Linked DNA regions of Elephas maximus indicus. The protein of the gene in region 1 purifies or fractionates together with the protein of each later gene. This does not show direct contact. Links are inferred from orthologs where the notes say so. Each region holds a gene or a part of one and is shown in the gene's direction. Other genes may lie near its edges.

Region 1 (15,325 bases):
AAATCAACAGATTTAAGGAGGAAAACTATATGATCATGTCTGTAAATGCTACATAATGTAATTATTAACATTTGCTAAGACAAGACATAAAACCCCATTGCCATCGAGTCGATTCCGACAAGACAGATGGTATAAATATTAGCAATAAAAGGAGATAAAACTCAAGACACGCTGGTTAAAAAAAAAAAAAAATGACTGGAATTAATAGGAGAATTTGATAGGATGAGTGAAGACACGATATTTATACAACAAAAGGGCTTTTCTCGATTATAATAAGCATCTAAAAAAGGAAATGAGGTAAAATATCCCTTTCATCACTGGAGAAAAGCATCTAAATTAAATAGAGATAAATCTGACAAGAAAGGCACAATTTAAACGAAGAAAAAATAACATCTTAGGACAGAAAGCAAACTCTGAAAAAAAGGAAAACATCCATATTCTTGGATGAGAGGATTAAAATAAAACAGTCAATTCTCCCCAAACTGATGCATAAATTTAATGAAATTCCAATTAGAACTCTAATGGGGTGGGGGTAGGAAATTGGAATTAAATAAAACGTCTTTAAAATTAGATGGAAACATAAATGACCGGGAATGGTAGAGTAAGCAGCGAAGGGAGACTTCCCAGATGCTGTTGTTGTTCGTTGCCATCGAGTCGGCTCTGACCCCTGGTGACCTTACCTACAACAGAATGAAGTGCTGCCTGGCCCTGCGCACCCGCACCGTCGTTGGCATGTTTGGGTCCATACTGAGTCCATATTGCAGCTATCGTGTCAGTCCATCTCACTGAGAGCTTCTCTCATTTTTGTTGGCCCTCCACTTTGCCAGGTTCGGTGCCACATATTACAACACACTAAAAAGATTTATCCGATATTAGAACTCGCTGGTAACTTATCATTATTGAACTCTATAAGATTAGACAAACATATCAATGAAATGGAATAAAAATCCAGAAAGAGATCTCAGTATTTATACATGGAAATTGACACGTGGTAGAAAGGTGGTAGTTTCAATCTCCTGGAAAAATATAAACTATTTAATAACAGGTGCTGGCACAACTAGCTATGTATTTAAAAGAAAATAAGCTTAGATCTCTATGTTATACCAGATAGAAAAATAAATTACAGATGGATAACAAATTTAAAAGTCAATCAGTCAAATAAACAAAAACCTTGGGGAAAACATGTACTTAATCTATAGGGAAGGGAGACTGGAAAGCCAGAAACTATAAAAGAAAAAATAGACATAAATGACTATATCTAATATTTACACTTTTGTACATATAAATATTGAATAGATATCATAAGCAAAATCAATAGAAGGTAGATTGAGAGAAAATATAATACAGCAGAGAGACATTAATAACTATAATATATAATAGTTATATATAATAAACTGAGACAAGAGAGCATAAAAGACTAAAAGAAAAGTGGTAAAAGATGTAAACAGATAATTCACAGAAGAGAAATTAAAATGACCAATAAACATATAAAAAGCACAGTAAACTCACCACAGGGTAATATAAATTAAAGTAACAATGAGATATCACTTTAAATCTATCAAAATTAGAAAGAGCAGTAATGTCTATTTTTGGCAGCAATGTGGGGAGAAGGAGATTTTCATACATGACCGGTGGAAATGGGGAGTATTAGAGCCTTTTTGGAAAACACTCTGGCCATATCTATTCAAATTACATTTACTTGTTACCCTTTTTCAAGCAAGGCCAGACCTGCTTTATATCATGAGGAGTAAAGCATCAAGAAGTAAGATTATACCTTTAAGGTTGTTTTCTTCAGTTTTGTTCATCATACAAAAAAACAAATAAATTAGAGCTTTACCAGTTGACTCTGAGGGATTACCACACGCATTACTGAGTTAGAAAAACAAGATTGCCTGTTGTAGTCAACTTGCTACCAAGTGGCCAACTGGTCTCCCCAATAAATGGTGCCGTATCCTCTGTAGCTGGCAGGTTGGATGTTCAGTGGTAGCAGGATCAAGAGCCACCTTGGAAAGTGGGAGCCCATGCTGTTGGGCTCATGCGTAACCTCAGTCTCTGCCATCATAGCCAATTCGACCATGCATCCATTGGCTAACTGCTGAGACGGCCTGGGGCAGGCTGGCTGACGTCAACAGGCAGAATCACTTTGTCTATTTGGTTGTTTAGTGCCTTATCCACGGTGGATGCACTCAGGTGGGTGTTAGCATTCGATAGGAAGATTTGCACACTCTATGTCAACTCTCGTATGTCTGTCCGCATGCCTCTACCCAAGACCTCCTCGTCTCTGACCTGTCAGCCCCTTTCCTTCTAGGCTCCGGATCATTGACCACGGCCCAGGAATCTGCATCTGTTTTCAACTTGGGCCACTGCTCCTTCCACACAGAGTAGACGACCAGTTGGACGACTCACAACCTTGCTTATTGAGAAGATCTTCCCTCTTCCATATTATTCAAGGCCACCCCTAAATGTGAATATAATGCAGCTGCACCCCATTCAGCTTGTACCTGTGTACCCAGCTGACATGCTGGTGACCCAAGCTTGAGTTTTCCTTCCTCCTTTAGCTCAGTTTACAGGACACCCCTCTCCCCTGCCCAATACAGCCACAGAACTTGTGCAATGTGGTCGGTGATGCGGGGGTCTCGGCTGCCTGTTCCTCCAGCTTCCTTAAGCCCTTGGGCCGTGCTCAGGTTTGATCCCAAATGTACCACTTCCACCTTATGATGGACGCTGCCTGGCCTGTGTGACTTTATGACATGGCAGGTCTGACAAAACCCGGAAAGGGCATTTCTGGACCCATAGCCCCTGGTTCCCCATCGTCCAGCGTTCTGTTTCTGTCAGGACCCAGTGATGCTCCAGAAAAGGTTTCTCAGGAGTGTCCTCTGCTGCAGATGACCTGGCCGTGCTCCAGAATGGCCTGTACTCTCTACTGGGGCTTGCCGTAAGCTCCCTACTGAACAGATTTAAGTTAAATCTGCCCTTTTTGCAGATTTACTTCCAGACCTGGGTACAAATGAGGGCTGTTATAACAGAGGCCAATCTCGATGATCCATGCTTTGCTATTCTGAGAATCACTCTGTTCAACGCTGGTTCATGGTTGTCGAATCACCTTACGAGGTGGTTCAAGCCATCATGCAAATAGGCTACTGGCAGGTGTGTCCCACCAGTCCTCCAAATTCACTTGATTCCGGAACACTGCTAGGACTTCAGCCTGGCCCTTGCCATAAGACAACACAACAGTCTCTGACAGGGGTGGCATAGCACCAAGTGCCAGGATGCCCGGGTGATTGATATCAGGCCATATGTGTGCAATGAGGCTACATCAACTGAAAACTCAGCAGCCATGGAAAGCAGCCTCTGATTATTTACGGGAGTTTACAAAAGGGATAGTTCCCAGGACAGGAAGCCGTATTGCCCATCCCCATGGGGCATGACTGTCACCCCTTTGAGCACAGCTGATATTCACAATGAGTAAAAGCCTGTCAATTTGTCACTGGTATTTCAAATACCAGCAGGGTCACCCATGGTGGACAGGCTTCAGTGGAGCTTTCAGACAAAGACAGACTAGGACGGAAGACCTGGCCAATATAAACCTTATGGATTGCAACAGGATATTGCCCAATCTAGTCAGAAGATGAGCTGCCCTGGATTGGAAGGCAACAATGAACTCAAACATATCAACAATCATGGAGATGGTGCAGGACCTGGCAACGTTTTCTTCTGCTGTACAGACTCAATGGCAACCAACAAAAACGCCATTCAACCAAGTGTGAACGGTGTCCCTGGAATCGTGTGCCCTGCACCCCAGGTATTCACTAGATCCACCACGGTCTTCCTCTGCCATGTCAGCTGCCCTTGGCCTTTGTTCACTGCCCTTGAACCTGTCTGAAGATCAGGAATGCTCATGCTGAGACCACCTCTCATGCTTCCCACGTGGAATGCAGCCTCTGCTGTGCCCAGAGCTGCTGTTTGCACAAGGCCAGAGTAGGGGTGGGTTCCATACAGGTGCGGGGACAAAGGCTCTCTCACTAAACCCAGGACACTTTTTTCACAGGTACTCAAGCCCAGACCTCACAGGGTCTGTCACCAAAGTGTCTCATGAGCTTCTCCTCTCCATTGGTTCTCAACACTGGGCCCCCTGCAACAAAAGGATCTACCTTTGCCGCAGAAATAAGCAGCTGTTATAGTTTTTTTTTTCATAGTTTAGTCTGTCTCAGTACATAGTATACGAACATCTCCATATTCTCTTTCCAACTCATCCAAAAAAAGACAAGGAAGCAAACATCTAAGCCAGAACACTTATTATCTGTGATTATTTTAATGGTGATTTTATTTATTTATATGGGGTGGGGGAGAGAGTTGGGTACTTGTTTTATACCTAGGTCCATTCTAGAAACAGATAATGGTTTATAATTTTTAATTAAAAAAAAAAACTTTAGGCTCCTAGGCATATTTAATATCTCCCAAACTACTTTCTTATGACCCATTTTCCCATGGAGAGTAATTAAATAAATCACATTCAAAGATGTGCAGTTACCTGTATGCTGAAAACTTGACAAGGCAATAGGTCTTCAGGAACAGAGAAAAAAAAGTTAGCTTCATGACAGCTCCCATCATTCTGCAAAGTTCCGTCTGGTGATGTCAGATTTCAAGGACAAGTTGTAGTGGTCTGGAAGTAATTGTTCTAGTTCTGCGTTGTCCACGATGTTCCCCAGTATTAAAGAAAACTTTAATGTTGTTTCCAGCTCACAAACACCTGGTAACAGGCATGTCACTTATGAGCGGAATAAACAAATGTCTTCAGACTTAGTAAAAACAAGTAAGTTCAAAAGGTGGAGGATCCTCCTCTCAGGTGCTCAGGTACTCGGGTCCTCAGCCACGTCGGTTATTGAAGCAAGAGACTTACTTTACTGTGTCGGCTTTACATTTAGCTTGTTCATTTTTAGCTAGAGCCCTCTCTATGCTTCCATGTAGGTTTGGGAGTTTTGACCTTGATCTCTATACTAAGAGACCTGTAATATCACGAAGCTGCGGTACGTACTTATCAAGACCCTGTAGACCAACAATTGTGACATTCCGCTTCTGGCTGAGCCCAGCCTGGTTGGCTGCCATGGCCACAGCCTCCTGCTGAGAACTTCTAAATGACAACATTGGCCTTGTCTTGTCGTCACCATTTCACAGCCTTTGGGCCCAGCCTCATCCAGAACCACTACGTGTCTCAGTAAGGTGAAATACAAAATGATAGACTATTCAGTCTTCTTGTTAAAGTCACAGCGTTCCTGGCTCCTTAATTTCCCAACATCTAACTGCTTACACTATTCTAGCAGTTAATAACCTTTCTTAGAGAGTGAATGGTTGTCCCATATGAAATCAGGGAGGGTAAGTTTATGTTCTTGCAAGAGAAGTTCTTATGTGAAAAGTGCCACCTGCAAAACCACACAGGAGAGACATGCTCATATATACACATGTTGTTGTAGTTATTGTTAGGTGCTGTCGAGTCGGTTCTGACTCATAGCGACCCTGTGTACAACAGAATGAAACACTGCCCAGTCCTGCACCATCCTAACAGTCCTTACTATGCTTAAGTACATTGTTGCAGCCACTGTGTCAATAATAAACCAAAAAACCAAACCCGTTGCCCCCGAGTCAGTTCTAACTCATAGGGACCCTATAGGTAGAACTGCCCCATAGGATTTCCAAGGCTGTAAATCTTTGTGGGAGCAGACTCCCACATCTTTCTCCCGTGGAGTAGCTGGCGGGTTTGAACCACCAATCTTTCAGTTAGCAGCCGAGCTCTTAACCACTGCACCACCAGGGCTCCATTCATACATGATAAAAAGCCTGAATAACTAGGATATTTGACCCCAAATGCTATTATTATGTTACTCTAATATACAAAATACATAATTGTGATCAACACATACTCCAGTAACCTAAAGTGGGTATTTATTTATTAAAACGTTAAATTAACAGTGGACTTCCGTGATCTAAAATTGAGTCATTGAAATAAAAGCAAAGAGAAGTTGATTATTGGTCATGGCAGATGCTGAAACTCGAACTTCAGATCCAAGAGGAAAAAAGATGGTGGAAGAAGTAGCCAACAAGTAAATTAATAAAAGAGTTTTAAAAGCAGGAAAATCCAGATTTTTCCTTCAGAGGATGGCACCAAATATGGAAAAGATGAGAAGGTGAAGAGAGATATATGTCCATTTACCAACCTGTTGTTGAAAAACTTCAGAAGCAGCTGAATTCAATCATTAAAAAAGATTACAGGGATCAACGCAAAGATTTTTGTTTTTTGCAACAGAGAATTAAATATGGAATTAGTATTTATCCTTAAATAAGGAAATCCAAAGGTGGTGCCACCCATCTTTGCAACAATAAAAACATGACAAACAAGGAAGGAGGTGCCACCAAGTGAGAAAAAAATCCAGGATGAGCAGCTGTTGGGCCAGCAGTGGGGCTTGCAGACCTTGGCTGGGACATGTCAAGTTATCATGACTGTGATATTCAGGGGTGGGCACTTAGCATAGTAGTTGGATACTGAAGGTTTAGGCCAGGTGGAGACGCCTAGACTGTTATACAGATCTAGGAGTCATCACTGCAGGTAACCATTACCTATGTGTCTTCTGACTGTGGTGGCTTGCATGTCACTATGATGCTGGAAGCTATGCCAATACTAGCAGTCACCCATGGTGCACAGATTTCAGCAGAGCTTCCAAACTAGGACAGACTAGGAAGAAAGACCTGGTGCTTTACTTCTGAAAATCAGCCAGTAAAAACCCTATGGAATATTGTCCAATATAGTGCTGGAAGATGAGTCCTCTAGGTTGGAAGGCGCTCAAAATACACACTGGTCACAACAATGGACAGGAGCATGCCAACAATCTTGAAGACAGCACAGGACTGGGCAATGGTTTGCTCCCTTGTATGTGGGGTTGCCATGAGTTAAAACCGACTCAACAGCAACTAAGAACAACGATTTCTCAACGTGGAGGAATAGTCATATTCTGATCAATCAATCAGCCTCACCCCAGAAGTAAGGATCAGCTCCTGGCTTCGTGGTGACCCTATCAATATGCAGGTATCGAGCTTCAGAAGTCAACAGGTTGGTTTTCTATCTCCTCAGTCATCTTGAACACATTAAGGAAGTCACTGGTGAACTCCCCCCTCGCAAAAAGTACAAAAAGGCAGAGTCCACTCAAGCTTCCTTTGACATCTTCTTCAATTATATGCTTAGGCTACTTCAGTGATTATTTGCACACCATCGAGAGCCCACAGTAACTTCTACTGTGTTTCTCACTCCTGTTTCTCCCTTTCTTAAAACATTTTTTAAAACTAATTGGTCCTCCTTTTTAAAAAAAAACATTATTGTGGCAAAATATATAACACATAAAATTAGCCATTTTAGTGTACAGTTCAATGACATTAGCTACTTTCGCTGTGCTGTGCAACCACTATTTGCAAACCTTTTTCATCATCTCCTTGGTAGCCATTAAGCAATACCTGCCCATTCCCCTCCCCCGTCCCCTGGTATCCAATAACCTGCTTTGGTCTCCATGCATCTGCCTGTTGTGGCTATGGACTCAAGCATGATAATGATTGTGAGGGTGACACAGGACCGGGCAATGTTTCCTTCTGTTGTATATGGGGTCGCTATGGATTAGAACCTACTCAACAGCACCTAGCAACAATAATAAGCTATTCCCTATAAGGGGGACCATGCAGTATTTGTCCTTTGGTGTTTGATTTTTTCCATTCAGCATGTTTTTTCCAAGGTTCATCCGGATCACAGCATGTAACAAAACTTCGTTTCTCTTAAAGGCTGAATAATATTCTTTTATATCGGATATACCACATTTTGTTCATCCACTCATCTGTTGATGGACACTTGGGTTGTTTTCACCTTTTGGCTCTTGTAAATAACGCTGCAATGAACACTGATGATCCCCCTTCCTTTTCAATAAAGGCACTTTTAGTAATGAATTGGACTTAACTGATTCCATTCTCTAGCTGGTCTTCTCAACGGGATTTTACCTCTTCCCTCCCAGATGTTTTCACAACAATTGGCACAGACTGCCTTAGTATATATTCTGTTCATAACAGGCACAAAAGCACAGAAAATACTTTGAATGATTTTCTTCAAAATAAAAATGATTAAAGCTTTCATGCTTCAGATGTCCACGTGTCGCACAGGCCCCAGCACATGGAAAGTGCCCAACTGATGAGTGTTAAATGAACGAACCTGGAAAATGAAAAATACACAAAAGGAAAACGTTTTATTCCTCAAAGATGAAAAAAAAAATGTTTAGACTTCCATTTAGCTCCAACTAACTGGTCAAATCCTTTTATCAAAAGGGTCCAAGCGCCATACTGATTATTTAGCTGTTTCTAAACACATTTCTATCGAATTCTGCCCGGCTGACTCAGCCTCGGGCTTTACAATCTTTTTTATTTTTATAACCCGGAGCCTTCCTTCCGTTGTAATGGAAACAAGCCCAGTCGCAAGGGCTTTCCCGGCGCCCTCCCCGCAGGACTCGGGCGCCTTCTCCTGCAAAGCCAGCCCTGCTCTCCGGCAGGAGCCCACATTCCACAGCAGGCTGCCGGCGGAGACGACCCGCCCCAGGCGGAAGCCGCAGCCATGGGAACCGCGAGCGCAGGAAGCCGGAGCGCGAGGGCGGAGAGCGGAGGAGCCGCCCCGCGACGGCGCGCCCGCGATGACGTCACGCCCGCGGGTGACGTCACGGCCGTGACACGCTCTGACGCCGTTGCCGCGGCGACTTCCCTCGTCTCCGCCCCCTCCCCGCCCCCCGCCGGCGTCCTTCCCCCATCCCCTCAGGCTCGGTCGCGCCGGGGCCGCGCGCGGGCGGGTACCTGCGGAGGCCCAGCGCCCCCCGCCCGGCCGGCCGGCGCCCCCGCCGCGCCCCGCGCCCCTCCGCCTCCCCGCCCCCCGGCCGCCGCGCTCGCCGGCGCTCGGCTGTAAGATGGCGGCGCTGAGCGGCGGCGGCGGCGCGGAGCAGGGCCCGGCGCTGTTCAACGGGGACATGGATCCCGAGGCGGGCGCCGGCGCTGCGGCCTCGTCGGCCGCCGACCCTGCCATCCCCGAGGAGGTGAGTGCGGCGCCGGCCGGCGCTGGGCTTGGCCCGGGAGAGGCGGCGGCGGGGCTGGCGCCCTCGGCCGCCTCGTCCCCGGCGCGGGGCTGCGGGCGGGCATCGCCGGGTGCCCGCGGCCCGGCCGCTCTCCGCGACGTCAACACCCAGGGCGGCCCGGGGCGCTTCCCTGGCCCCGGCCCAGCTCGGGGGGTTCGGGCGGCCGGGCCGAGCCGGAGGCTGTCGGCAGGGGGCGAGAGCCGGGCTGCCGGGAAGGTCACGCCTGGCGAGGTGGCCGGCCGCGTCGGTGAGGTGTTGTCGCGGTGGGGGGAGGGGGCTCGTGTGCGGCCGGGACCCCGGGCCGAGCGGCGGGACCCCGGGCCGAGCGGCGGGACCCCGGGCCGAGCGGCGCCTGTGGGCGGCTCTCGGTGGAGGGGGGATGACGGGGCGCCCGGCTCCCTGCCGGCTCGCCCGGCTGCCCCCAGCTCAGGCCGCTGCCCGCCCTCCCGCGTTCCTGCCCGCCCGGGGCTCTCTGCTCACCTCTTCTGCTCGGCGGGGGTGTTCACCTCGACTTTACTTTTTCAGCCCCAAGCCCCCCCCACCCCGTCCGCTGTGTTTTCCGTCTATGTCTCAGGCAGGCTGGTGACCCCCATCCCAGTGTCATCCGCCTCCCCGCTCGCTCTCCGCCGGCTGGGACCTGCCCGCCTCTAACCTCGGCTGCTACCTGAGTCCGTCTTCCACTTGTCTTACCTGAGCCCTCTGGAGGCGCTTGCCGCCGTTCCGCTGCTCCAGCACGTTACTGTCTTCTCCGGTCCTCTGGACACTTTGGAGCCACTTACTCTCCGGATCCCGGGCCCTGTCAAGATTCTTTCAAGTTTCCACACTTTGTCTGTTGTCACCCTTGCACTGCTGACACTTTGGGCTGGTTTTCCATTGTGCATTCCCCTCTTATTCCTGCCCATTTTCTGTTGACTTGATGATTTTTTTTTCCCCTATAGTCCTTTTCGTCCCAGTTTGCATTTTTCACTTTAGTCTGCTTAGTCCTTGCCTCTCTCAGCTTCTTTTTGCGTTATTCAGCCTCTCATCACCTTTTCAGATTAGCTTTATTTGCATGTCGCTTTTTATTACATAAAATTTATTGCATTTTGTATTTGGTGTTTTATTACATAAAGTAATATACTTTGTTTTACTTTACAAAAAATAAGAACGCATTGCCATCGAGATGATTCTGACTCGTAGTGGCCTTATAGGACAGAGTAGAACTGCCCAGTTGTATCCTAAAGAGCCCTGCTGGCACACTGGTTAAAGTGCTAGGCTGCCAAGCCAAAGGTCGTGGGGGGAACCCACCAGTGGCTCCTCAGGAGAAAGATGTGGCAGTCGGCTTCAGTAACGACTTACATCCTTGAAACCCTATGGTGCAGTTCTGCTTTGTCCTACAGGGTCGCTGTGAGTCAGAATCAACTCGACAGCAGTGGGTCATGGTTATGCTAGAATAACTGTGCTTTATAATTATTAATTTAATAATATGCCTTATTCTGTTGACTTTGCTCTAAGCTCTTTCCTTCCTACTGCTTATACCTTGTGCCCCAGTTCTCATAAAGTCTCATTCTTTCTTCTATTTTTCTTCTCTCTGTGCCGTTCTCTTTTTCCTGCTCCATTATCTTTACTCTGGAAAGTCATTTGATACGCTTGCTTTGTTCAGAATCATTTGCTTGCAATATTTGTTTTCCACTGTCTTACCCCACCTCCATCTATGCCCAAAATGTGTTCAATACCATTATTTGATTTAATCTAAATTTCTCAGGTTTTTCTCCCTTATTTCTTAATGTCATCAAGCCACACCACTTTCCACTTCCTTTCCAGTTTGCATTTCTGCTCAGGTCACTTTCCTCTAACATCTGCTCATTTCCCCCAACTGCTTGGATTCGAAGGATGGGGCTCTTTCCTTCTTTCATTTCCTCGTTTATTCTGTTGCCCTTGTCCCCGGTTCCCATGCGTTCTGCCTTATTTCCTGGCTTTTGGTACTGAACTTGCTGAAGCTTCCTCTTGTCTTCCCCATACCTCCACGTTCCTTTTTATTTATAAACAGCTTTGTTCCATTGACTTGGAAATGTATTTTTAGGATACATTGTTTTTAATGGGCAAATACTAGGGGTCACATCTGCTTTCTATTTTTTCCGTGGATCGGATATGCTTTTGTCTCACCAGGCACAGGTGCCTCTAGGCTTTGCTCTGAAGTATGTGTGGTTTTGTTGAATTGTAGTGTTGTTTGGAGACTATTACAGAGTGGAAGAATGGATAAATTATTGCATATGAGTTATGGAATTGTAATTCTCTGATTATAGTATTATTTACATTGGGAACTTGATTTCAGAGTCTATATTAGAACAATTTACAATGACAGAGAGAAGACATTTGTTAAAGTAAAATCTCTACTCTGTTATAGTAACTTGAAAGGGCCAGATTGTTTGGCGTTTAAGGGTTCCTGGACGCTGCTCCCTGAAGATTCTGAATCAGTCGGTGAGGGCTAGGGCCATGGGTTTCTGTATTTGGCAGACTTTCTAGGCAGTCCTCACTTACACCAATGCCTGAGAACCTCTGGGCCAGGTGAAGTTAGGTTCAAATTGCCAGTAGTTGGAAAGCATGCTCATATCTCCTGAAACTAAGGATACTCTTAATTTTAAGTAGTTAAAAGAGATGTGTTTCTCACTGCCCCTTTTACTCAGGTTTTGATGTTTAGTGATGAATAGTCAATTTTCCTCTGTTTTCTTACAAAGGCTGGTTATAAATGTATTTAAAAAAAAAAAAACAAAAAAAACCTTCTGGCATCGAGTTGATTCCGCCTCATAGTGACCCTCATAGGACAGGTTTGAACTGCCTCATGGAGCTTCCAAGGAGCGCCAGATGAATTCGAACTGCCGACCTTTTGGTTAACAGCTGTAGCACTTAACTACCACGCCACCAGGGTTTCCAGTAAATTTATTGGGGGAGGATAAATGATTAATTAACCTCCTTTGAATACATGTATCAGTGTTACAGCTGGTAGAATGCATTCCTCCAAGAAATCCTTTTAAATTTGGAGTCGATACTGCTAATTCATTGGAAGCCGAAATGTACTGTGATCTTTACATTGAACTGTCTTCCTTATATGCCCTTAAAGCCATATCTTACAATTGCCAAGTACTGAAAAGTAATGAAAAATCGTGCTTGTGTATAATGACATATTTTATTCTAAAGAAGTTACTTAGCTACCCCATGTCTAACAGAACGAAAGGTTGCCATTCCCACATCATCCTCACAATTGTTGTTATGCTCACCTTACCTGACAGTAAGATATAGGTGTTTTACAGAAAAGTTTCTCAGAGGGAGATTTCAGCAGCACTAATTTTTTTTTTCTAATTACAGAGGCAAAGCATGTTCATTATAGAAAAATTGAAAAGGTAAAACTAGAAAAATAAAGTTTAAAAATCATCCGTAAACGTGCCACTTAGATGTAACTACTATAAGCGTTTTGGTGAATACGCATCTACTTTTTAGGCATGTACAATACACTGTGTGTAGTTCCATAGTCGTTTTTAACCTGACTATATAACAAAGCTTTGTAAGTATTACTAATTACACTATGACTTATTTAAGTAATCCTTTTGGGGAGTATTAGGTTGTTTGTGTATTTTTACTGTGATCAAACATCTTGAACATAGAGTGTAGATTTTAGCTTTTAAAATTATGTTAGGAGTGAACAAATTTCATGTTTAACTTCGTAGATGCTCAAAATAGAATGTTCTGGTAAATGACAGGAGCTTATTAAACATTCATCAAATGAATATGCTTAAACTTTAGACAATAAACATTTACTTCTTACCATGGATATTTCTCTGATGTTACTTTCTGCCTGTGACCATATGGTATAAGATTACCAGAGTGTGATTTTTATTAAGTTGTTTTCTTTGGAAACCCTGGTGGTGTAGTGGTTAAGAGCTACGACTGCTGACCAGAAGGTCAGCAGTTCAAATCCACCAGGCACCCCTTGGAAACTCTGTGGGGCAAATTCTACTCTGTCCTGTAGGGTTGCTATGAGTCGGAATCAGCTCGACGGCAATGGGTTTTAGTCTTCTTAAATCGTGTTTCTAGAGAAGGGAGCCTCTCACAATTGCATTACAATTACATTATTTTCTGTTATCAGGATATCTCCAGTATTGGTTAAGCTGTGTAATTATAGTAATGCATTGTCTAGGGACTGTTCTGGCATGGAATCTCCCTTATAGCAAGGTCCTCTGTATTAAAACACACCCTCATGAGCCATGCCAAACCAGGCTGAATTGCACATGCCTCAGAGAAGTGGTGGTCCCACTAAAGTATGTACTCGTGCAGTTCCCGCTTTTTGCTATTAGTGTCGTCGTTACCGAAAAACAAACCCGTTTCCATCCAGTCGATTGGGACTCATAGCGACCCTGTAGAAAAGAGTGGAACTGCCCCCTAGGGTTTCCAAGGAGCGGCTGGTGGATTCCAACTGCTGACCTTTTGGTTAGTAGCCATAGCTCTTAACCACCCCACCACCAGGGTTTCCATTGTTGTTAGGTACTGTCAGATCGATTCCAACTCATAGCTACGGCATGACAGAGTAGAACTGGCCCAGAGGGTTTCCTAGGCTGTAATCTTTATAGGAGCAGATCTCCAGGTCTTTTCTTCTGTGGAGCTGCTGGGTGGGTTTGAACCTCGGACCTTTTGGTTAGCAGCCAAGTGCTTAACCACTGCACCACCAGGGCTCCTTTGCTGTTATTTGTCTAGGTGTATTTGAAGGTGAACAAAATGTGTCTTTTAGATTATAAACTATAAAAAAAGCTGTTATTCTTTGGTATTTCTGGTGGTCCCTCTCTGTACTCTTTCTCATTTAATGAACAAGAAACGAGTGTGAGACACTCACTCCTTTTATTTAGGAAATTACTGGCTATCGGTTACTTAACCTATGCTGGCTATAAAAGGAATCAATGCTCAATAAACAGGGAAGAAAGGAATGTCGGGACTGGGTGCTTGACTCCTTAAATGTAGTAAACTTGAGGGTGTGCTTGATTTAATTGTATTAAGGTAACAGGTTAGAAAAATTATATTAGGAGAACAGGCCAGAGAAATCTTTGACTTTTCTGTTTCCTGGTCTATACCTTGCTTTCCTGATGAGGAAAAATAGGAAGCTGATGGAGCTGTAGCAGCTGGAAACCTGGTCAAGTTCTTTAAGTAGTGGGAAGAGAGGGAAGAAGCAGGCTACATTGTTTCTTGTTTTGGTTTTGGGCATTTTCTAAGAGCTGATGCCTACTTTGTTGTAGTATAGAGTCCCTAATGAGGGGGTCTTCTTTTCACTTTGTCTCCAATTGTGGAGTTATTTTCTCCTTCAAATCTGCAGAAGTGCATTTGTTTTCTTTGACATACTGACATTAACTTAAAAACCCATTTCTGTCGAGTTCATTTTGACTTACAGTGACCCTATAGGACAGGGTAGAACTGCTCCGTGGGGTCTCCAAGGCTGTCATCTTGATGGAAGCAGACTGCCACATCTTTTTCCTGTGGGGAGGCTGGTGGCTTCAGACCACCTACCTTTATGTTAGCAGCTGAGTGCTTCACCCTGTGCCACCACGGCTTCTTGACATTAACTCAGCTGAGTATATAGTCAACATTTTGTGCCACAATCCCCTTATTTTCTGAAACCCACAGTGTTCCTATGCTTCCTAAATTTCTACCTACGTTGTCATTAAAATAAGCTGCCTTTTTAGTAACCTTACTGTGATGTTGTCTTCCACAGAAGCCGAATTTAAGTTCTTTACTCATTCTCTTTATCTGTTTTACCTACATTGGGTGTTCTGTAAAGTTAGAATCAGAAATAGTTATAGAACTTCTAAATTCAAAATAAGTGAGCCTGTTTATGAGCTTTCATGATTTTTAAGATAGTGTTTTCATGAAAAGTCTTAATGTTATAGATAACGTAATGCTAGCGTAAGAACCCAAACATGTAGCTTTATTCATTCTTCTCCTCTCAAAATATTTGGTGGTGGAACTGACGTGTTCTGGGGATAGTTTTTATTTTTCAGTGTCTTTTGGCTACCAACCTGATTTACTGTCATACTGATCAGCATGGTAGTCAAAAGAAGCTCTCAGTGCAGCCTCCACCCTAACATTAAGCAATTATTTTTTTCCCCTCTACCCTCTGAGATTATTTTGGTTTTCACGTTCTCTCTTGGGCGTAAAAAACC
Region 2 (15,441 bases), on another chromosome or scaffold:
ATTTTGCAAGACCAACGATTTCTTCATTGCAAATACCTTCTTTCACCAACATAAGCTGTGACTATACACATGGACCTCGCCAGATGGAACACACAGAAATCAAATTGACTACATCTGTGGAAAAAGACGATGGAAAAGCTCAATATCATCAGACAGAACAAGGCTAGGGGCCGACTGTGGAACAGACCATCGATTGCTCATATGCAAGTTCAAGCTGAAACTGAAGAAAATCATAGCAAGTCCACGAGAGCCAAAATATGATCTTGAGTATATCCCACCTGAATTTAGAAACCATCTGAAGCATAGATTTGATGCAGTGAACACTAGTGACCAAAGACCAGATGAGTTGTGGAATGACATCAAGGACATCATCCATGAAGAAAGCAGGCGGTCACTGAAAAGACAGAAAAGATGGATGTCAGAGGAGACTCTGAAACTTGCTTTCAAACATCGAGCAGCTGAAGCAAAAGGAAGAATTGATGAAGTAAAAGAACTGAACAGAAGATTTCAAAGGGCCTCTCCAGAAGACAAAGTAAAGTATTACAATAACATGTGCAAAGAGCTGGAGATGGAAAACCAAAAGGGAAGAACATGCTCAGCGTTTCTCAAGCTGAAAGAATTGAACAAAAAATTCAAGCCTCGAGTTGCAATAGTGAAGGATTCCATGGGGAAAATATTAAACAACGTAGGAAGCATCAAAAGAAGATGGAAGGAATACACAGAGTCATTATACCAAAAAGAATTAGTCGATATTCAACCATTTCAAGAGGTGGCATGTGATCAGGAACCGATGGTACTGAAGGAGGAAGTCCAAGCTGCTCTGAAGGCATTGGCGAAAAACAAGGCTCCAGGAATTGATGGAATATCAGTTGAGATTTTCAACAAACCGATGCAGCGCTGGAGGTGCTCCCTCATCTATGCCAAGAAATATGGGAGACAGCTTCCTGGCCAACTGACTGGAAGAGATCCATACTTATGCCTATTCCCAAGAAAGGTGATCCAACCGAATGTGGAAATTATAGAACAATATCGTTAATATCACACACAAGCAAAATTTTGCTGAAGATCATTCAAAAGCAGCTGCAGCAGTATATCGACAGGGAACTGCCAGAAATTCAGGCCAATTTCAGAAGAGGATGTGGAACCAGGGATATCATTGCTGATGTCAGATGGATCCTGCCTAAAAGCAGAGAATACCAGAAGGATGTTTACCTGTGTTTTATTGACAATGCAAAGGTATTTGACTGTGTGGATCATAACAAACTATGGATAATGCTGCAAAGAATGGGAATTCCAGAACACTTAATTGTGCTCCTGAGGAACCTTTATATAGATCAAGAGGCAGTTGTTCGAACAGAACAAGGGGATACTGATTGGTTTAAAGTCAGGAAAGGTGTGCGTCAAGGTTGTATTCTTTCACCATACCTATTTAATCTGTATGCTGAGCAAATAATATGAGAAGCTGGACTATATGAAGAAGAACAGGGCATCAGGATTGGAGGAAGACTCTTTAACAATGTGTGTTATGCAGATGACACAACCTTGCTTGCTGAAAGTGAAGAGGACTTGAAGCACTTACTAATGAAGGTCAAAGACCACAGCCTTCAGTGTGGATTACACCTCAACATAAAGAAAACAAAAATCCTCACAACTGGACCAATGAGCAACATCATGATAAATGGAGAAAAGATTGAAGTTGTGGAGGATTTCATTTTACTTGGATCCACAATCAACAGCCATGGAAGCAGCAGTCAAGAAATCAAAAGACGCATTGCATTGGGCAAATCTGCTGCAAAGAACCTCTTCAAGGTGTTGAAGGGCAAAGATGTCACCCTGAAGACTAAGGTGAGCCTGACCCAAGCCATGGTATTTTCAACCACATCATATGCATGTGAGAGCTGGACAATAATAAGGAAGACCGAGGAGGAGTTGACACCTTTGAATTGTGGTGTTGGCGAAGAATATTGAATACACCATAAAGTGCCAAAAGAACGAACAAATCTTTCTTGGAAGAAGTGCGGCCAGAATGCTCCTTAGAAGCAAGGATGGCGAGACTGCATCTTACATACTTTGGACATGTTGTCAGGAGGGATCAGTCCCTGGAGAAGGACATCATGCTTGGCAGAGTACAGGGTCAGCGTAAAAGAGGAAGACCCTCAACGAGGTGGATTGACACAGTGGCTGCAACAATGAGCTCAAGCATAGGGTCACTATGAGTCGGGACCGACTTGACGGCAACTAGCAACAACAACAACATGATCCTATACGTAGAAAATTCCAAGGATTCCACAAGAAAGCTACTGGAACTAATAGGAGGTTTCAGCAATGTGTCAGGGGACAAGATCAACATACAAAAAATCAGTTGGAGTCCTCTATACAAAGAAGATTCCAAAAAGGAAATCAGGAAAACAATACCATTTACAATAGTTCCCCCCTCCAAAAAAAAAGATAAAATACTTAGGAATAAACCTAACCAGGGATGTAAAAGACTTATAGGAAAATAACTACAAAACACTACTGCAAGAAACCAAAAGAGACCTACGTAAATGGAAGAACATACCATGGTCGTGGATTGGAAGACTTAACATTGTGAAAATGCTAATACTACCCAAATCGATCCATAGATATAATGCAATCACAATCTAGATTCCGTCAACATTCTTTAAAGAGATGATAAAACTAATCAACTTTATATGGAAAGGAAAGAGCCCCCAAAAGTAGGAGGCCTCACACTTCCTGATCTCAGAACCTATTACACAGCCATGGTAGTCAAAAGAGCCTGGTACTGCTACAATGAAGACAGATAGACCAATGGAACAGAATTGAGAACCTAGAAACAAATCCATCTACCTACAGACAGCTGGCCTTTGACAAAGAGCCAAAATCCATTAAACAGGGAAGAGGTAGGCTCTTTAACAAATGGCACTGGTGCAGCTGGATATCCATTTGCAGAAAGATGAAACAGGATCCACACCTCACATCAAGATGGATCAAAGACCTAAATATAAAACCTGAAACTATAAAGATTATGGAAGAAAAATAGGATCAAACCTAGGGGCCCTAATTTATGGCACAAATAGACTGTCAAACATAACTAAAAATGCACAGATGGCAGAAGATTAATGAGATGACTGGGACCTCCTAAAAATTAAACACTTATGTGCATCAAAAGATTTCTCCAAAAGAATAAAAAGAAAACCTACAGACTGGAAAAAAATTTTTGGCAATGACATATCTGACAAGGGACTGATCTTTAAAATTTATAGAAACTTCAACACCTCAACAACAAAAAGAGAAACAATCCAATTAAAAAGTAGACAAAGTACATAAACAGACACTTGGCCAAAGAAGACATTCAAGCAGCCAACAAATGCATGAAGAGATGGTTGTGATCATTTGCCATTAAACTAAAACCAAACCCATTGCCCTCCAGGAGATTCTGACACAGTGTCCCTATAGGACAGAGTAGAACTACCCCATAGGGCTTTCAAGGAGTAGCTAGTGGATTTGAACTGCCGACCTTTTGGTTATCAGCCAAGTTCATAACCACTGTGCCACCAAGGGTACCATTAGCCACTAAAAAAAAAAAAAAAAAAACCCAAACAAAACCTGTTGCTGCGGTGTCAATTCTGACTCATAGCGACCTTATAGGACAGAGTAGAATGGCCCCATAGGGTTTCTAAGGAGTGGCTGGAGGACAGGAACTTTCAGCTTTTGGTTAGCAGCTGAGCTCATAACCACTGTGTCACCAGGGCTTCCATTAGCCATTAGAAAGATGCAAATCAAATTAACAATGAGTTATCATCTTCCCTGGCAAAAATGGCAATGATCAAAACACAAACAAACATCAACAAAAAACAGAAAACGACAAATGTTGGCGAGGGTGTGGGAAGATTGGAACTCTCATACATCGCTGGTGGAGCTGTAAAATGGTACAACCACTGTGGAAAACGGTGTGACGCTTCCTTAAAAAGTTATAAATGGATATACCGTATGATCCAACAATCCCACTACTAGGTATGCATCCTAGAGAAATAAGAGCTGTGACACAAATAAATACATGCACATCCATCTTCATTGCAGCATTGCTCACAACAGCAAAAAGATGAAAACAACCCAAGTGCCTATCAACGGCTGAACGGATAAACAAACTATGGTGCCTGCATGCAATGGAATACCGCACAATGTTAAAGAATAATGATGACTCCGTGAAACATTCCACAGTATAGATGAACCTGGAGGACATTATGCTGAGCGAAATAAGTCAATCACAAAAGCACAAATACTGTATGAGACCACTATTATAAAAAGTCAAGAAAAGATTTTCACACAGATAGAAACATCCTTTGATCTTTACCAGGGATTGGGGGGGTGGGGAGAGGAAAACCACTAACTAGATACTAGACACATAATAACTTGGATGAAGGGAAAGGCAATACACAATATTGGGGAAGTCAGCACAACATGACCAAGGCAAAGAAAGACACTGAGAGGTACACAAGAGTAAAAGGCAATAATAGGAAATACTATATACATACACGATCCTGAGATAACAGTAATAGCAAACAGTAATATATGAGTGGATACATTGGTAGATATGTAAGCTGAACAGGTGTGGGATTGCGTATGGGAGTACACCTATGAGCATATATAAGTTTGACAGAGGATATTTCTACATACGCATTTGTATGTGCTGCATATATATCCATGAATATATTAGTGCACACAGTGGGCACAGTTATGAAAACTTCTTAGCCATAACCAAACACCTTGAGGGATTGAGTCACTGGGCTGAGGGTTTAGGACCATAGTCTCAGGGTACATCTAGGTCAATTGGCATAACATAGTCCGTAAAGACAAGGTAATATCTGGGGTCTTAAAAGCTTGTGACCAGCCATCTGAGATACAACTGTTGGTCTCTTCCCATCTGGAGCAAAGAAGAGTGAAGAAAATCAAAGACTCAAGGGAACAATTGATCCAATGGACTAATGGACCACATGAACCACAACCTCCGCTAGCCTGAGACCAGGGGAACGAAATGGTGCCCTGTTACCACTACCAACTGCTCTGATAGGGATAGCAATAGAAGGTTCTGGACAGAATAGGAGAAAAATGTAGAACAAAATTCAAATTCATATAAAAGACCAGACTTAGTGGTTTGATAGAGATTGGTGGGACTCTCAAGACTATGGCATTTAGACCCCCTTCAAGCCTGGAACTGAACCCACTCCCGGAGATCACCTTTCAGCCAAACAATGGACAGGCCTATAAAGTGAACAATAACAACCGTAAGGAAAGTGCTCCTCAGGATAATCAACCGTAGGAGACCAAAAGGGCAGCATTTTCACCAAAAAAGTTCAGAAGGCAGGAATGGGCAGGAAAGATGGGTGAATGGAAATGGGGAACCTAGGGAGGAAGTGGATGGAGTGCCGTCACATCAAGAGGATTGCAACTAATGTCATGAAACAAAACATGTATAAATTGTTAAATGGGAAGCTAATTTGTCCTGTAAACTTTCACCCAAACCACGATAGAATGTTCCAGAAAAAAATAAAAAAGCTGACACTCTCCCACAGCATTGCCCGCAGTGGAGTTGTTATCTGCAGCCCAGGGGTGGGTGGGTGGTTGGGGGAATGGGGCTTGCCTTCCCCAGGGTCTGCTGCAGGGTGACAAGGCAGGGGAAGTTCCTTTGTTCCTTTCAGGAAGGCTTTAGCCCTTTTCTGTGTTTTAGTGAAAATGCCCTGAGTTTTAAGGGGAGAACTCAACTCAGTGGGATGCGATAATCAAACGAATGTCTAGAATGGTAATGGTTTAATCCAAGAACTTTTATTAAATGCTTGCTGTGTGCTGGTGTTGGTGTAATGCTAAGAGCTACAGCTGCTAACCAAAATGTTGGTGGTTCAAATCCACCAGGTGCTCCTTGGAAACGCTATGGGGCAGTTTTACTCTGTGCTATAGGGTTGCTATGAGTCAGTTTGGACTCAATGGCAATGATTTTGGTTTTTTTTTTGTGTTGGATGAGAAAGAGCTGGGATTGCACCATTCATCTTTGTGTGTACTTCCAATGTTAAAAGGAACATGGAATGTCATCAGGATTTTGATGTGGACTGCCACATTGTGTCAAAGCTCTGGGAAGCCACACTGAAGCACAGGCTATCTGCAAGAGCCAAACCTGAGGTAATAGATTAATAAGGCAGGGCTGCTAGATTTCACTCTGGCTATGGACCGATCATTGCTAACATTTTGAGTGCTCACCATAGGCACCTTCGTGATTTAATTTCGTCCTTCAAAGTGGGTATTATTATCCCTGTTTTATAATTGAGGAAAATAAAGACTCAGCTATTTAAAAGATAGACCAAGGTCACACAGAAAGTGATGCAGCCCAGATTGAAATGCAGATGTGACTGATTGCAAAGCCCAAACGCAGAGAGGAAGACAAGTGGAGGCCTCTTTGGACTAAGACAGGGTGCATCCTGCTCTGCTCAACCTAAGGGTTAGAAGTGTGTCTCCCAGTAGACACTCAGTTTATTGAAGGCAGGGCTGCCTGCCTGATTCCTTTAGTTGTGTATTCCCTGCTGTGCCCAACACAGTTTCTGCACCTTGTAAATAAGCAATGTTTACTGAATTGAAATCGAGAAATAAAGTAACGCAGAAGGCTTGATCTACGTAGCTTTTAGTCGTTTGCAACTGAAGCTACAACATCTGAATACACTGCTCAGAAAACGAAATGGACAATAAAAAATTGGAGACGACGAAATTATTTATTCAGTCGGTTTCCTCTGAGGGAAAAAAAGTGCTCAATGTTGTGCAGGATTCAACATGCAAAAAACTTGCTAACTTTCTTTAGTCATATTGATGATGGTTCTTTTTGAAGCTTTTGCTGCATTTTCAAAATCAAATCTGGAGGAAACAATAAGGTGTTCGATTCCTTTAATTTCAGGAGCATGTAGCTCCACTTGTAATAATAAATTTAAAAATTAATAAATTTAGTACGGTATCATCTCAAGGATTGACTTTAGCGTCATTCACGTATCTATTGAACGACAGGCGATAAACCGAGAGAAGCTGAAGGGTGGTAACCGAGGTAACGGGGGCGGGGGTTCCCTTTCCTCCCCGTATCCAGAGAACCGCGGCGAGAACGCTCTGAGTAAGTTTTGTCTCTTAGCCACGCCGTAGGTAGCGATGCATTCTGGGTCTCGGCAATATGGCGTCCTCCTTGATGTGCTGATGAGAAGAGTTTTACTGTAGCTCCAAACGAGACGGCAAAGCTCCCCAAACCCAATAAGCCCACATTACTCGTTTTCTCCGGGGGACCGTGCCGCCCGTTTCTCAGGATTCGTTGTCAGGCAGGAGAGAGTCACGGGGCCGAGGGCCAGGGCCAGCCAGGCCGCGCGGACGCGGGGTTGAGGAACCGGCCGCGGGCGAGCACGATGGGCCGATCCTGGCTCTGTTTGCAGCAGCTCAGGCGAGTGCGGGACCCGCAAGGCTGAGAGTGGCTGGAGGAGACCCGAGGCGTCCTAAACCTACTCCCCTCGGCCGGAGACCTCAGCCCCGTCGGCGAACCGGCCCCAAGAGCGGGCGGCCTGCCTGTCCTCGGATCTGAGGCGTTGGAGGCCGAGAGCAGGGTCATCTTAAGGCCCGAAGTCGCTCACGCTTTTGACAGCTTCGCTCGCAGCTCCTCTGGGAACGGACAGCCCCAGAAGCAGCCAGTGGCTTGGGATCTGGGGGTGAGCGAGTCTGTGCAGAGCTCCTTGGGTTGCCCCATCTTCCCCCGGCTCTTCCCAACCCCCTCCGACTTCCCGCCCAGGGGTCAAGATAAGATCTAAGACTTTTTGCCCGAGTAAGGGTCTCCGCACACGCTCCATTCATTCCCTTTTCTACTCCCCTTTTTCATCTATTATTTCACCAAATCTGGTGCACACTAGTTTTTAAGGCTGGAGGTTCTCGAGCGCTTGCTGCCAAGGACTCCCCCGCCTCCTCCCCCCCTGATGGAGTCCGAGATGCTGCAGTCGCCTCTTCTGGGACTTGGGGAGGAAGATGAGGCCGACCTTACAGACTGGAACCTGCCTTTGGCTTTTATGAAAAAGAGGCACTGTGAGAAGATTGAAGGCTCCAAATCCTTAGCTCAGAGCTGGAGGATGAAGGATCGGGTAAGTGGATTCAGACGGCACCCCTGGATCTTGGTAGTTTTTCCAATGAGGAAAGTTCAGAGCAAGAGTGTCCTTGGGGAAGCACCCTTCCCCCCGCCCCCCCCCCCCCCGCCCCCAACATGTTGCAAGTCAACTAAAAGGCAAAACGCATCTCAGACTCCAGTTTTTAATTGAAAATGGGAAGGGCTCTTTTAGTAATTATTCATCGGGTAGTGCTAATTCAATTTAAACTAAGTTCTCATTCAGATAATAAAAGTGAAGCAGATTTGAAAATCTCGCATTGCAAGTATTTGCATGCTCTTTGATATACTTTGTGCTTTTCAGACTTTGAGGAAAGATAACTAGGGATATAAGCTGATACTTGCACCCACGTGGTTGGTTCACTCCCCCCGCCCCCCCAAGTTGGATGAAGTCTGATGTCCTACAGTATGCTAGGCAACAAGATTATTGGAAAGTGTTCAGCTAGTAACACATTAATGTAGAATTATTTTAAAGTTGCAATGAGTTTCATCATCCTCTTCTAAACAATTTGTCTTGAATCCAAACTTTGCACCTTTTATGTGGTTTCGTGTTGGTGTAACTTGGAGACAGACTTTCTTCGATAGTGGGGTCAGGGTATGACGGGTTGGGACTTGGGTCCAGGCTTTAGGGGCTCCCACGGGTGCTGGAAGCGTGGGTGGGCAGTGACTCACAAGCAACTGGTGGAAAGAAGAAAGCCAACTGTGCTGAGTGTGGTTAGTCAACAATGTTATTAGCTTCTCGGTCTTCAGTGCAAAACCGTGGGGCCATCTCATCTACGCACACTTGTAATTTGTCCTTTTGTAATTTATTTTCTCCTTCAAGGCTGCCTTTATTTATTTGAGCATTTCGGAGGTGTGAAAAGGGGAAGTTGGTGTTACAATGTGGTGTGACTTACTAAACTCTGGCGGCGTAGTGATTAAGAGCTACGGCTGCTATTACCAGAAGATCGGCCGTTTGAATCCACCAGGCACTCCTTGGAAACTCAGCGGGGCAGTTCTACTCTGTCCTGTAGGGTCGTTATGAGTCGGAATTGACTCGACGGCACTTGGTTTGGGTTTTATATGTTTATAGGCGATTACTGTTTTCTAGTATGTGATGTGTGTAAGGTTCCATTTATGATCATTCTAGCTAGCCAGTCAGTAGCAACCAGTGCTTCATTTATTGATTTGGCTTATTTTTAAAAGGCTAGGGAAATGAGTTTCACTCAAAAGTAGCTTAAAAAGAGAAATAAATGGTCACTGGGAGAGGTAGTATAAAGTCTGACTTATGGACATCTTTAAGGATCCCTGGTGGCACAACAGAGCCCTGGTTGTGCAGTGGTGGTGCAGTGGGTAAGAGCTTGGCTGCTAACCAAAAGGTCTGCAGTTCGAATCTACCAGCCGATCCTTGCAAACGCTATGGGGCAGTTCTGCTCTGTCCTATAGAGTCGCTGTGAGTGGGGATCAACCCGATGGCAATGGGTTTGGTTTGGTTTTTGGTTTGACCTTTTAATTAAAATGTTAATTTGTGAACAATAGACATTCCCTAATGAGGGAAAGAAAAGTTCTGTGAGGCTGAGTAACTAGTGAGATTGCTACTTAAAACGGAGCCAGGGGAGAAAGTTTATTGTCTCTTACATTGGCAGTTGTTTAAAGGAGATAAAAATCAACAGCTAACACTTTTAGTTATGTTTGTGAGAGTTTGACATCCTAAAAAGTCCTCAGAGTCTCTTTCCTCTCGTCAGACCCTGAGGGACCTTCTCAGTGCATTCTTCTAGGACAAAGGTTGAAGACTCAAAAGATGCAGAGAGTTGGAAGGTAACTAACATGAGTGAGGCAGGCTTGGCATAAGAAGGATACCGGCACAAGGTAAAAAGATAAATGGCAGCTGACATTTGACTCAGTGTTTGGTGGGTTTTCTGGTGGGTGAGACCAGTGGGCGGGGGGGGGGAGGGCGAGCACGTGTGGAATCTGAAGGGGCAGCTGGACCTCCGCCCTGTCTTTCTCTCCCTTTTTCTCTTCATCTCTCTTCCTTTTCCTCCTCCATCCCTTCCCTAGAAGGGTTTTTTTAAATTTTAATGTCAGGTCTTCCAATTTTTAAACATTGGAATGAACTTAGATAAAAGAGACCCATCTGTGGGACCAGCTTCAGTCAGTGGGTTACCTGAATGTGACTTCTACTCCGTGTTAGTTACAGGCAGCTGCTCCGATTCTCTGAGTCTGCATACAGGCGTCCAGGCCACTAAGGGGCGGCGTTGTTGAAAAGCCTGTGTGGCCACTTGCAGTACACCAGGAACTGTGTAGACCAGTTCTGCCAGTGGGCCACTGACTACTCCAAAAATGCAAACCCGATCTTTGTTTCTTCCCGCGATTGATGTGTAACTCCACAGACTTTTATTTGTGTGTATATTAATAATTACTTACCGGTGGCCTATTTACTGGAGTTGTTATGGAGTCCTAAAGTTTACTTCTTTACCAAAGTTTATGGAAGACTCTAAGAAGTTTACCTGCCACTCAGCGTTCCACATCCTTCCAAGGCCACGGCACAGGCCCGTAGGGATTCCCAAAAGTTTTGTTCTAATTGGTCCTGGTTTTTAAATGCCGTTGTTATTCTGGTTTAATTCTTCAGTTACTGTCAGTTTAGTACCGTTATTATCAAATTTGTTGCTTGGTTAATTCTCCAGTGTGGAGTGAATGATACTTATATTCATGAATAGTGCTTTTGACTTGTAATTTTCTAGTAACTGGACTTACATATGAATTGCAGTTTAGAATGAGTCATTCAGATACCTCTGGCTAAAACAGGTGTGTACGTATCTCCCCCATTTGTACTTTCCTGTGATACTTAGTAGTTTTCACAGTTCGTTTTCCCACTGGAAAGTGGGGCAGGTGGGGACAGCTGTCTCAGACAGCTCTGTTGCCCTGCGGCCTTGCATGTGGAGTGGAGTCAGAAGAGCTTGATGCAATTGCTCTAAAATAAAACTCTCGGACAGACACACGATATCTTTGTGTGTGCGTGAGCTGTAACTATGAAACGATGAAGAAGCACATTCCCTAACCCCTGGCTGTCTCTACACTTAGTAGCACTGCTTTGTAGCCGTGCTTTGAATTAGTCACAGAGGAAGCAGAGTAGATGCATTGAACTCCTACCTGGCCAGTGAAGTGGTTAGGCTGTCCTGTGAGTGAGGGTAAATAGTAACACTGTATATCATGCATTACCCCTCTGCTTTCCTCACCCTCACTCTCTCCAGTTAGGCCTTGCTCCACTCTGGTGAGACTGCTCAACATGGTCATTGTTGTCATTAGGTGTCGTTAAGTGGATTTTGACTCACGGTGACCCCCGTGACAGAGTAGAACTGCCCCATAGGGTTTCCTAGACTGTAATCTTTACAGAAGTAGATCACCAGTTCTTTCTCCCGCGGAGCTGCTGGGTAGGTTTGAACTCCCAGTTTTTCAGTTAGCAGCCAAGTCTTAACTGTTGCGCCACTAGGGCTCCTTAACTTAAGAACGTTGTTGTGTGTCATTCACGCAATTCTGAGTTGTAGTGACTGTGTAGGACAGAGTAGAACTGCCCTAAAGCGTTTCCTAAGCTGTAATGTTGTGGGAAAGGAGCCCTCGTGGTGTAGTGGTTTAGTGCTTGACTGCTAACTGAAAGGTCAGTGGTTTGAACCCACCAGCTGTTCCATGGGAGAAAGATGTGGCAGCCTGCTTCCGTAAAGATTCACAGCCTTGTAAACCCCATAGGGTATTTGTACTCTGTCCCATAGGGTTGCTATGAGTTGGAATTGACTTGATGGCAACGGGGTAATCTTTACAGAAGCAGATCACCAGGCCTTTTTCCCATAGTCAGTGAGTGGGTTTGAACTGCCAATCTTTCCGTTAGCAGCCGAGTGCTTAACCTGTGCGCCAGCAGGGCTCCTTGACCTGGCCATCATTCCTTGGGAAATCTGAAGGTCACTCTCTGTCCTGATCTTTTCTGACCTCTGAGCAGCACTCCACACAGCTGACCACCTGCTCCTTCAAGAAGCCCTTTCCTCGCTTGCGTGTCGTCACGAAACTCCGGGGTTTCCTCTTACGTCACTAATTCCTCCTTCTTTGCCCCCACTGCTGTTTGACCCCTGAGTGTTGGTGTGCCCGAGGACTTGATCATGATCCCCCTTTCTCTTTTCTACATAGGCCCCTCCCTAGCTGGCCTCACCAAGGCACAGGGTTTTAAACGCCATCTCTATCCAGTGAGTGACTCTTTAGTTCTGACCTGTCCCGGAAACCCCTGTGTCCATCAGAACATGTGGTCACCGTTACTCACTCACTTGTTAAGGCTGTAACTCTAGAAGTTATCCTGAATTCTTTCTTTTCCCTCTCCCCGTCCCAGCCAATTCATCAGTTCCAACTGCTCTCAAGTCGACTCTGACCCATGGCGGCCCTATGTATGTTAGAGTAGAACTATGCTCCATAGGGTTTTCAATGGCTGAGTTTTCGGAAGTAGATGTCCAGGCCTTTCTTCCGAGGTGCCTCTGACCTTGAACCTCCAACCTTTCGGTTAACAGCAGAGGACATTAACCATCTGCACCACCCAGAAGTGCCAGCTCATCAGTAGAACCTACCAAATTCACCTCCAAAACGTATCTTGGAGTACTTCATTCCGTGGAACCCTAGTCCGGCAACCATCACTGCTTGTCTGGGTGACCACAGGAGCGTCCGAACTGGCCCCCCACGTCCACTCTTGCCTTATAGTCAGTTCTTCACACAGTGATAAGGGTGATCTTTTAAAAATGGAGTCAGCTACGTTACCTCCTTACTGACCTTCTCCACTGGCTTCCTCAGTGCGTACAGCAGAATGTACGCGCCTAACCATGGTCCACAAAGCCCTTGGTAATCTGGCCCACCTGCCTTTTCTGCTTCTTGGATAAAAAACCTGGAGTGCTCTTCCGTCTGATGTTTGCACACATGCCTTTTTCTTGTTGTTTGCACCCAGTGTCTTGGTCACTTCCTCAGAGAGGCCTTCCCTGGTCACCTGATCTAAAGCAGCTTCTGGGTCACTCTTGATCACTCTTTATTTCTCTGATATTTTTCTCCACACCTCCTGCCCCAGAAGTAAGCTTTCTATCATGGAGCTTGTTGATGCTAGTACATAGGACAGTGCCTGGCCCATAGTCGACAAAAATGGATTCCTGAAAAGGCGAATAGTTTACATAGGGCTTTCACACTGGTTATCTGTCTTAAGGCTCAACAGAGCTGTAAATTGGGGAGGGATTATTGTCCCAACGGTATTGGTGAGGAAACTTAGGGTTTGATGCAAATAGCTTGCCGAGAGCTCCATGGTGAACAGTGGAAGGAAGTGGAGCTGGAGAAACAAAGCCTGGTGAGAAAACAAACTGCAGCCAGTGTCTCAGCCGGAAGATTCAGGCTATGGAGAGGTCATATAGACCAGGATGATAATGTGGGGAGGGGGGACTGGGATACAAAAACAGGCGGTAGACCAATGTTACGCAGACTGAAAATAATGCTACTGGTGTAGCTTAGCTGTCTCCACGTACACTCCATGGTCTCCTGGGCTTTCCTGAGGCCGTTCAGCGGTCTGCAAGGTTAGAACTACCTTCGGAGCAGTACTGAGATGCTCCTGGCCTTTCCCATGTGTTGGCACCTGCACTGATGGTGCAGAGACGGTGGCGGTGGAGCTGCTGGCATCTTGGTATGAAACAAGGCAGCGGCACCGGGCTGTATCAGCAACTGTTTTCTCCACTGCTGTGCCTTCGCGGTAACAACAACAACAAACCCAGTTCTGCTTGAGAATGTCCTTGATGAAGGAGGAAAAAGTATTCTTGCTATTAAATTTTGACTCTTACTACCTGCCTTTTTAGTACTTTGTGTGATGACGAGGGGCGCTGCCATAAGCCTGTCTGCTGCATACCCTGCCTGACAGGATCTTGAGGGGATGTGCTCGTGGGTTGCGAGCTGAACTGGCTGCTGCTTTCTGGAAGCCATGGTCCCACTTGAAAGAAGGACTGGCAGCCTGAGTCTCTGAGTGCTCAGACCTGGTGTTTGCCAGACGCTGTCCTTATGGTGAGTGAAGCAAGCCTGTCACTTCAAGGAAAACAGCTGACAGCATTTGTGCCAGTGATAAAATCTGAGCTTTTAAGTGAAAATTAGAGCTTTGGAAAACTTGTTTCTGCCACTGTGAACTTGACAGCTTCCCAATACTTAAGAAACTTTTCTTATGAGAGCATGGTGGTATTGATGAGTGTGACTCTTTTTGGATAGCGTAGAATGAAATATGTCAACATTTGGAACATATGCATGATTCAGTGGACCAAGATTACCCAATGGCCAGGCCGTGATATTATAACCTGTGATACTATAGTCCATGATATTACAATCCATGATACTGCCGTCCAGTTGATCCCAACTCCCATTCAGGGTTAGATCAATGGATTTTAACCTAACAGGTTTTGTAAAGTTCATTGACATGGTTTCAGATAGGTTAATATTCCATTCTATAATCTATTCAGATAGACTGCTGCAAAACTAAACTGTTGTGTTGTGATGTAATATCAGAGAAGGATGTTCACAGTTATCTGAATATTCTGATACTCCTCCTTTTCTAACTGCGTGTCTGTGTCAGGCTTTCTTCATGAACTTTAACCTCAGCAACATCTCTCAGCAGCTCGAATGCAGAGGCAGATATGAGACTCCAGCTGACATTAAGTCAGACATTAAAGAGATTTGCAAAAATGTAAAATGGTGCTGCCCTTCTCATTAACGTTTTAAAAAAACAGTTATTTTTTCATAGAAGTGTGTTATTTTAATATGTAAACAAACAAAAGAAAACAGAAACCTGTTGCTGTCGGATTGATTCCGACTCACAGCGAGCCTGTGGGACAGAGAAGAACTGCCCCAGAGGGTTTTCAAGGCTGTCGTCTTTGTGGAAGCAGACCACCACGTCTTTCTCCTATGGAGCAGCTGGTGGGTTTGAACCGCCGACCTCTCGGTTAACAGCTGAACGTTTAACCACTGTGCTACTAGGGCTCCTGTTTTAAACATATAGTGAATTTATAATTGTTATTTTAAAATAAATTAATAAGGACATATATAATTTTTTGTTGTTTTAATTCCTAATATAGAAAATAGTGATAAATGTAACTCATAATACAAAGCTCTTTGGGTCTTCAATAGTTTTTTATTGTTGTAAAGATATATAGGAAACTATGGTGGTGTAGTGGTTAAGAACTACGGCTGCTAACCAAAAGGCTGGCAGTTCAAGTCCATCAGGTGCTCCTTGGAAACTATGGGGC

Evidence for each region.
Region 2: the proteins of BRAF (region 1) and RPTOR purify together in Homo sapiens (affinity purification with mass spectrometry; 3 studies listed by BioGRID and IntAct, with this or other methods). This does not show direct contact. The link is inferred for Elephas maximus indicus from reciprocal best matches to the Homo sapiens genes BRAF and RPTOR.

What each region holds. Positions count from the first base shown.
Region 1 is NC_064826.1:9,578,754-9,594,078, forward strand, and holds the start of BRAF (serine/threonine-protein kinase B-raf), read left to right. Parts: upstream 1-8,931; 5' UTR 8,932-8,978; coding exon 8,979-9,104; intron 9,105-15,325. UniProt on the Homo sapiens protein: Protein kinase involved in the transduction of mitogenic signals from the cell membrane to the nucleus. Phosphorylates MAP2K1, and thereby activates the MAP kinase signal transduction pathway. Phosphorylates PFKFB2.
Region 2 is NC_064837.1:70,452,704-70,468,144, forward strand, and holds the start of RPTOR (regulatory-associated protein of mTOR), read left to right. Parts: upstream 1-7,181; 5' UTR 7,182-7,988; coding exon 7,989-8,150; intron 8,151-15,441. UniProt on the Homo sapiens protein: Component of the mechanistic target of rapamycin complex 1 (mTORC1), an evolutionarily conserved central nutrient sensor that stimulates anabolic reactions and macromolecule biosynthesis to promote cellular biomass generation and growth.